Drosophila melanogaster: one gene and its partner. The protein of the gene in region 1 interacts with the protein of each later gene in a pairwise test. Each region holds a gene or a part of one and is shown on either strand. Other genes may lie near its edges.

The links.
Region 2: the proteins of Flad1 (region 1) and HP1e interact in a two-hybrid assay, tested with the Drosophila melanogaster proteins (one large-scale study listed by BioGRID).

Annotation. Positions count from the first base shown.
Region 1 is NC_004354.4:12,900,798-12,905,300, forward strand, and holds Flad1 (flavin adenine dinucleotide synthetase 1), read right to left. Parts: upstream 2,720-4,503; 5' UTR 2,544-2,719; coding exon 2,532-2,543; intron 2,366-2,531; exon of another isoform or gene 2,281-2,365; intron 2,170-2,280; coding exon 1,519-2,169; intron 1,055-1,518; coding exon 749-1,054; 3' UTR 556-748; downstream 1-555. Other genes in the region: Coq8 (coenzyme Q8), read right to left, coding at 1-158; CG4404 (uncharacterized protein), read right to left, coding at 3,480-4,237.
Region 2 is NT_033777.3:9,319,807-9,322,871, forward strand, and holds HP1e (heterochromatin protein 1e), read left to right. Parts: upstream 1-1,963; 5' UTR 1,964-2,019; coding exon 2,020-2,544; 3' UTR 2,545-2,555; downstream 2,556-3,065.

The DNA of each region.
Region 1 (4,503 bases):
AGCTGCTGTGTGTGCGCCACATTCTCGGCGATTAGCTCACGAATGCTTGAATTGCTCCACAGATGACGACCGTGGGCGAGATGCTCGCGCCCACACGCCTCCAACAAGATCCGCAGTCCCCGCAGCAGCGCCGCAGCTTCTTGTGCGGATCGCGACATCGCGGAGCGAGGAAATACTGGTTTATTGTGCACTGCTCTCGCGTGGGTGATTCGCTGGTGATGATCGGCGCGTAGGATTACGTAAATCTCGTAAAAATATCACAGCAAAAAAAGTTCAAAGAATCGCGTAATGTTGTGAAAATGCGGCGAAAATCAGCTGGCAAAACAGCTGACTGGCCATCTAGTGCTGCCATGCTGGCGTTTTAACAGTGGCACCATGGCATCTTGAGCTTTTTCTAGCTTTTAAAAGCCAGCTTGCTGCAGCACTAGATTTTGCACTGAAGCCAGTGCTGTTTCTTTGGCTCTTTTAGCTTGCTTCAGCTTTTATGCAAAATTAGAAAGAAACATTCAACAACTAAACAACTAAAAATTTAAATACTCCATAAAAACTAGGAATACTGCTTAAGTGGCCTGCTAACAGAGGCCACATTTATTCAGCGGCATACCTTAGGTCGTACAAAATTTTACTAAATTAAGTTTGTTTACCGAAATCCAGATCACACGTTAATATATATACACAGCTATATAAAGTTTCGTGACTAACTGGAGTTTAAGCTATTCAATTACACTATAGCCACGCAAATGGAATCCTACTTCCTGGGCAGGCGACCAGCACGCTCCATGGTGGCATCCTGGAGCTCCCAGGCGGGCCGATAGCCACCCAGATCGCAGGAGCAGACGGCATCGGAATTAGAACCACATTCACACTCGGCATCGGTGCGTCGGAGGTGCGGATTAGGCACTGTGTTCGCACGATTCCCGATCGAGGTGTAGCCCCGATCGTACAGGCTGCAATAGGGCACCGAGTTCAAGTGGATGTAGTGCCAGACGTCGTGGTAGCTCCACTCCAGCAGCGGATTCAGGCGCATCATCGGCGGCCAGTCGTTGTCCGTGGGCTAAAAAAAAAATCGAAATTAGCATCACTAGGCACTTGGGGTTTCCTAATAGGAAACAGCAGTTTCGAACTTTCCAAAACTATTTCAAGCTAGCTTCATTATTATCTTTGTGATCTTGTGAGATTTTCAAATAAGCGGGATACATTTGGTTTTGTAAAATACTCGAATAAATTCTATGTTAGGTGGTGAACCACAGAACTCGCTTATCTGCGGAATGGAATCATGACATTCGAAAATGCCACTGTCACTGTGATATTGGCAAAGGGCACATACTTTTCTAGATTAACAATGGCATAATTTTGATACTAAGGCTGTGACTTTGATAACTTGGCTTTATAATCAATCTACTACTCTTGAGAAAGAAACTTTTCTTCACACTTGAACCTACGAACTCCTGAGCATTTCAGTGCAAAACATTTAAATATGATTTATCTCCTGATTGCTATATTCCTAACCAGCTTCACCTGCATGGGCGCCAGATGCTGGCAGTAGGGATCCGTGTTGCGGCTGCCCACGAAGACGGCCTTGATCCGCGGCATGTCCGACGACATGTGGGTGAGTGCCTCCTTGAGCGTACCCTCGTACTGAACCAACTGGACGCGGTAGTTGCGTACGCAACGCTCGACGAACTCATCGATTTCCGGAAACGAATCGCCGGATTTAATGTACAGCATGGGAATGTCGCCGCTGGAGATGTTCTCCTGGCGCAGGTAACGCATAAGGAGATCGAGCAGCACGGTGCAATCCTTGCCGCCGTTGAAACAGAAAATTAGCTCCTCGACGCCGTAGATTTGCAGGGTTTCGGCGAAGAAGGCGAACGCTTTATTTTGCCGCTCCTCAATGGCCAGTCGATCCTCGGCTGTTAGTTCCATTGGATTTGATATATCCTGTCCCTTTGCCACATCCTTGGAGTTCTCCGAACGATCCGACATGCTCCGTTTCTCTAGAAACAAATGCTTTTTGCTAATGCTCTTTGCGCATAGAATGCTGTTGTTCGCTGTAATGTTTGTGATGTTTGTGATGTTCTTCCGGCATTCGTTCATGGTGCTCAGTGGGCGTAATGTTTGTGGGAGGCGTGGCCGTGCCCTGGCTAGCAAAAACGATGACGTCACACGCTGTTAAAGTCAAAAGAGCAACTATTAGCACTCAATAAATAAAACATAAAAAAAACTTTCGCCGAAAAATATCTTTTTTTTGCGTGTGTGTGTGTGTGTGTAAGTATTTACTTTATGTAATTTTCTAGGCCCATAAACAAACTTTAACTGTGCGATGAGCGTGGTAAATGCTTCGGCGGTTGACGTGCGAGTGAGTTGGCTTATTTGTGGCCAGCCAAAAATTACATCACTTTCGTATCGGAAAAGTCAGCAAAAACAAAAAAAAAGTGATATAAAGCCAAAACCTCAGGCCCTCACACGCACACGCACACACACGCATGCAGGCCAAACACATGGCGCACGCACACACGCGCATAGCTCACCCAATAGCTCATGTGTTTCGTTGCTGCATCGACTGTTTACTGGCGCACATTTAACTGATGAGTTACGGCGACAGCAATGCAATTATTCCATTTTGTTAATTGTTATTCCGCGCCAGTGATTTTCCTTCCTTTTTTCGTCTTTTTAGTGCAACAACAAGCGAACGGCGACAACAACAACAACAAAGCCAGGAAGCTTTGCGTACTATCGGTGCATCAGCTGTGCGCTGAATCTATCGATTGCACTCGATTAAGGCGGTTGGCTAGCTAGAAATTCAAAAAAAAAGCTAGAAATTTATACATTAAATAATTTTGAAAGTTTCGTTTTGATTTTAATCCGCAATTTCGCATATCGCCAGCAAATGCGACATATATACGCAAATTTTGTTTCTGTTCCGTCTGAAGTAAAATAAAATGTTCGTAGTTTAAATGTTTTATTCGACAATAACAAATTCGTGTTTGTGTGTGTGCTTAACAACAACAATAAAAAGCGTAATTAAAGTACGCTCTACACATCTAATAAATGGGCACTGTTGGCGTTTTCTATCAACTGGGTGTGTTTTCTTCGATTCTTGTGGCTTTTTTTCTTCACGGAGAGAAAATATCACATAACTGGTGATTTCATCCTGTTCCACTGGGCGCTTTACAAATTTCGATGCAGTGCATATAAACTTCGATATAAATTTCATGTACGTTCACACTTAACTTAGACATAAATATTTAAAAACTAAGTTCATTGTCTAAAAGTTAGCAATATGATGGCCAGAATGAAATCTGAAAGTGGTGAAAATGTTGGTTTTGAAATAATGTTGCATTTGGTATGTAGAATATTTCCGCACAATCATTCAAAATATGCATCTCTTGTGTGTGGTAATTTTGATAGAGCCGTTTACAAATCGTAATTTTCATCGCTGAAACGTAAGCATCTTCGGTTTTTTTTCCGTGTACAAATTAGACATCCTTGTTATCCAGAATATCGTCGATGAGTCCGACGACCTTCTGTCGAAACTTTCGATTCTGCTTGCCGTTCATCTCCTTGATGTACGGATGCAGGCTGATCAGAAAGGAGTAGTCGGCATCCGGTTGTGAGCCACCTCCTCCTGGTCCGCCAGTGAAAACACTTAGAGCTGACGTAGCCGGCTGCGGCGGCGGTGGTGGTGATGTTGGTGTTGTTGTTGTTGTGGTTAACTTGTGATGACCGCTGCCATGTCCCTTGAACCACTGCGTCAGATCCGACCAGCCCAGGTGATTGCCCAGCGCGGCGGCGGGCACCGAGACCAGCGACTGCTGGCTCACCATCCGCTCCAGCTGCTGGTTCGCATTTGACGAATCGTGCTCCACTTTGATGGAATGCAGGCGGAGCGGCAAACAGGCGGTGGGTTGCTCCCGATCCTGTTCCTGATTACGACGATGCTCCTCCTCGGACACCTGAACGTCCAGCGGCATCTCACCATCGCTCACCTTGGCCTCCTCCTCCGCCGCCACCACCTCATCTTCCTGCTGAGCAGTGGCAGCTTGGCCGGGTTTGCGGAGCACCATGCCCGGCAGCTGCTTGTGGCAGGATCGCGACTTGGTGAACGGAACGAGAAACTGAAGATACTTCGATAGGTAGTATTTGCGCTTGCCGCGTCCCGTTTGTGTGCGTGCCAGCTTCAGGGATCGCAGGAAGCTGCTCCTTATGGTGCGCCATCGCTCGCGACAGTTGCGAACTGCAGGAGAAACAAAACACATCTTTTACAGTACAAATTTCTACGGTACAAATTGAAACTTGTTCACCAAAAGGTAACCACAGTACTGAGTTGATTTGCACATCAAACTCAATTCTTGGATTTATACTTGTTTGTAACATGGAATATTTTGTAGTTTAAATACTTTTATTTTGTATTTATTTTGAATTTATTATGGGAATTTAGTTGTACGAATAGTACTTGGTTTTTTTCCAGTGCACCTTGGCTGAGTGCAGCAACAGTAAACG
Region 2 (3,065 bases), on another chromosome or scaffold:
TTACTATGTTATATCAACTATTATAATTCTCCCTAACATTTTTAGGATTAAAAATCTGTTAGTCTTAAGTAACCAAGACACATTGTAAAATAAAATAATTTAAGCAGATCAAATTAAGTTGCCGCATGGGTAACAGTGCGTTGATCAAATAATAAAAACATCAAATATTGGTCTCAAAAAAAAAAAAAAAAAAAAAATTATGACCGTAATACTGTCAAAAACAAGCACACAATAATTATAATGATGATCAAATAAAACTGGAAATTAGCCCAAAGTGTGTTAAGTCAAGCGAGGAATCCGAACAAAGGAACTACAGCCAGCACTGGAGGCAAAAAGTGACAGTAAAATTGGCTCGAAGACAGCGGCTAATGAGCGTGCGATAGGAATAAAGGAGTAGAATGGGGCCAAAAACCCAAGAAACTCAAGTTGGCTAAAAGGCAAAGATATCGCAGTACTAGTCAAATACGAGAATACTGAGAGAGCATTTTGCGATGGGCTTGTGGCAAGACTAAGCGTCTTACTGGCAAATTGGGAACGGGGTAAGAGGAAAAGCCGAAAGCTAAACAAAGACGGCCAACGCAGATGGCAAAAAGGAAAAACTCAATTGCCGCACAAACCGAGCCGCCATTGTTTTCTTAATTGAGTGTCTTTTGCTAGTGTGTCTGTGTGCCAGTATGTTTGCTCATACATATATGGGGTATCTGTGTGCCAGGACACTATGCTCATTGCCGCCTATCTGCCGGCAGAGTTCGCTTATCAATTACATTGAATTTACCCAGGCAGAAATGGCTTTTAGCCATTCTAGGCACCACCCCCTGCAATCAATATTTGCCGGAAGTGATGGCATAGGCAGTCACATTGACTTTTGCGCCGACTGCTCACCTCTCCACTTCCTGTGCTTCCGATTTGACGCTGATTTCACAACTCGCCGCACGGAAATTGCCCGGCCCCCCATTTACGGCTTCAGTAAACAACCGCACCTCACGTTTCTTGACCACCCCTCCACTCCATTTCGATTTTCGAATCTTCACTGTACTGCAGTTGACGAAGGCGCACATTTTATGTATGTATTTGCCGTGAATCTCCAACTCCATCCTACTTCATAAGTCGCCTGATTTATTCCGGCCACGTAGCACTCACTGCACAGTTTGATTGCCACATTCGCATGTAAATGCTGGCCTCTAAAAAGTATTCAAACCAAGCGACCCAATCCCACAAATCTGTCCCACGTCATCGCGCATAATCGAGCTTTTAATTTCGGGTAATAAAACTTTGCCGATTTAATATCAGGTACGTGGCGCCTTCATTCTACAAAAGAAAGCCATAAAATGTGGAACTGACTTCGAGGGAAGCCATAAACTTATGTTTTTCAATGAAGGATAAATAAGAAAAATAACTAGTTGTTACACCTTTCAAATTTTTAAAGCATATTCCCCAATTTATTGTCAAGTGATTCATCAACGATTTCTGTGGCCTGCAAAGTTTGCCTTGAAAGGCAAAAGATTTTGTTCATTAAACAACGTGATACACGAAACCAAACTGAAAAAAACTTTGTTCTACGAGTATTTCAAACTTTTCGCCAAGTTTACGCATAATTTTTTACGATATTTTCCGCAGTTTTTCCTTTTGACGGCTCATCTTATTCTTATTGTTGTTCGAAAGGACTTACCCAGCATCCAGGGATCTCTAATAGATTTCCGGCAAACAATTTTATTCACTTTCTGCTATTGAATTTGGTATTATTAATGCCGCATTTCCTAAGCTGTGGGCATTAAGTATATGGCTAACTTTTCTACTTCAGGATATTAAACGAATTCATTACAATATTTTTCATAATTTTATTTCTTTTGGCAAGAAGATATTAAAGTAGACCAGCATTTAAAAGAAAACTTGTCTGCACAGAAAACTACGTTTTGTTGAGTAGCAACTGTAGATAAAAAGTTACGAAAATGTTTTTCGCTCTGACATTGCTGTCAAAACTCATCAAAAAAATACTATTTGAACATTTAAAAATATAAAATGGATTCAGATGCCGATGGTGGCGAGACCGTTTCGAATTTCTCTGAAAATTCGACGGATTTTGAAGAAACTGAGGAGTATATTGTAGAGAGGATTTTGGATCGAAGGCATTATATGGGCCAATTACAATACTTGGTCAAATGGCTGGATTATAGCGATGAAGATAATACCTGGGAATCGGCAGCAGATCTCGATTGCCATTCACTTATTGATTCGATTGAATCACAAAAAAGTCTGAAGAGGGGTCAAGAGCTGAATAATCAATATGAAACTAAAGCTAAACGACTGAAAATCGATCCATGTCTAGTAGTAGATAGTCCTTTTAATCATGGTTTCACTGCACAAGAGATTCTAAAAGGCGCTAAAAACAATGGTGAAATATCGTTTTTAATTAGGTTTTGGCATCTCGATCAACCACAAGTGGTGCCAAGTGGAATTGCATATGTGGAAATACCGCAGATGGTTCTGAAATTCTATGAAAATCATTGCAATTTTCACGATTATTTAAATAATTATATATCATGACTTGCAATTCTGGATCTTCAAAAAAAAAAAACTTATGAATATGTGTGTGAGCTTCTTATATTTTATATGTTAGGTTAAATTGCTTTACTTTTTATAATAAAAGGTGTCCCTTTGCACAGCATTACAAACAATAATGAAGGCAAAATGCCAAGTTTTAAGTGATTTTTGGGGCGTGTTTGCCCGACAGGCAGCGTAAACACTCTTAATTGCAACAACAGTGCCGGCAAACAAGGGCCAGGAATGTACGACGGCCAAAATGAAGCGAAAATATTTGCATTCCGTTTTTGTGGCCATTCCCTTGTCTCATCGCAAGTACCAAAAGTCGTAAGACCTATTCTCTGTTTTTGGCTGATGGGGCGTGGTGGCCGGACGTACTTTTGCCCTATATATTCGTGTTTGTTTTTCGTCACTTGGGTCCTTTTTTTTGGAGGGGGGGGGGGGGGGCTCTGGTGCTACCCAGTTGCGTCCAGTGGGCACGTAGCCACAATAGCAGCAAAAAGGTTTCGTTTAAGCCTTCTGCA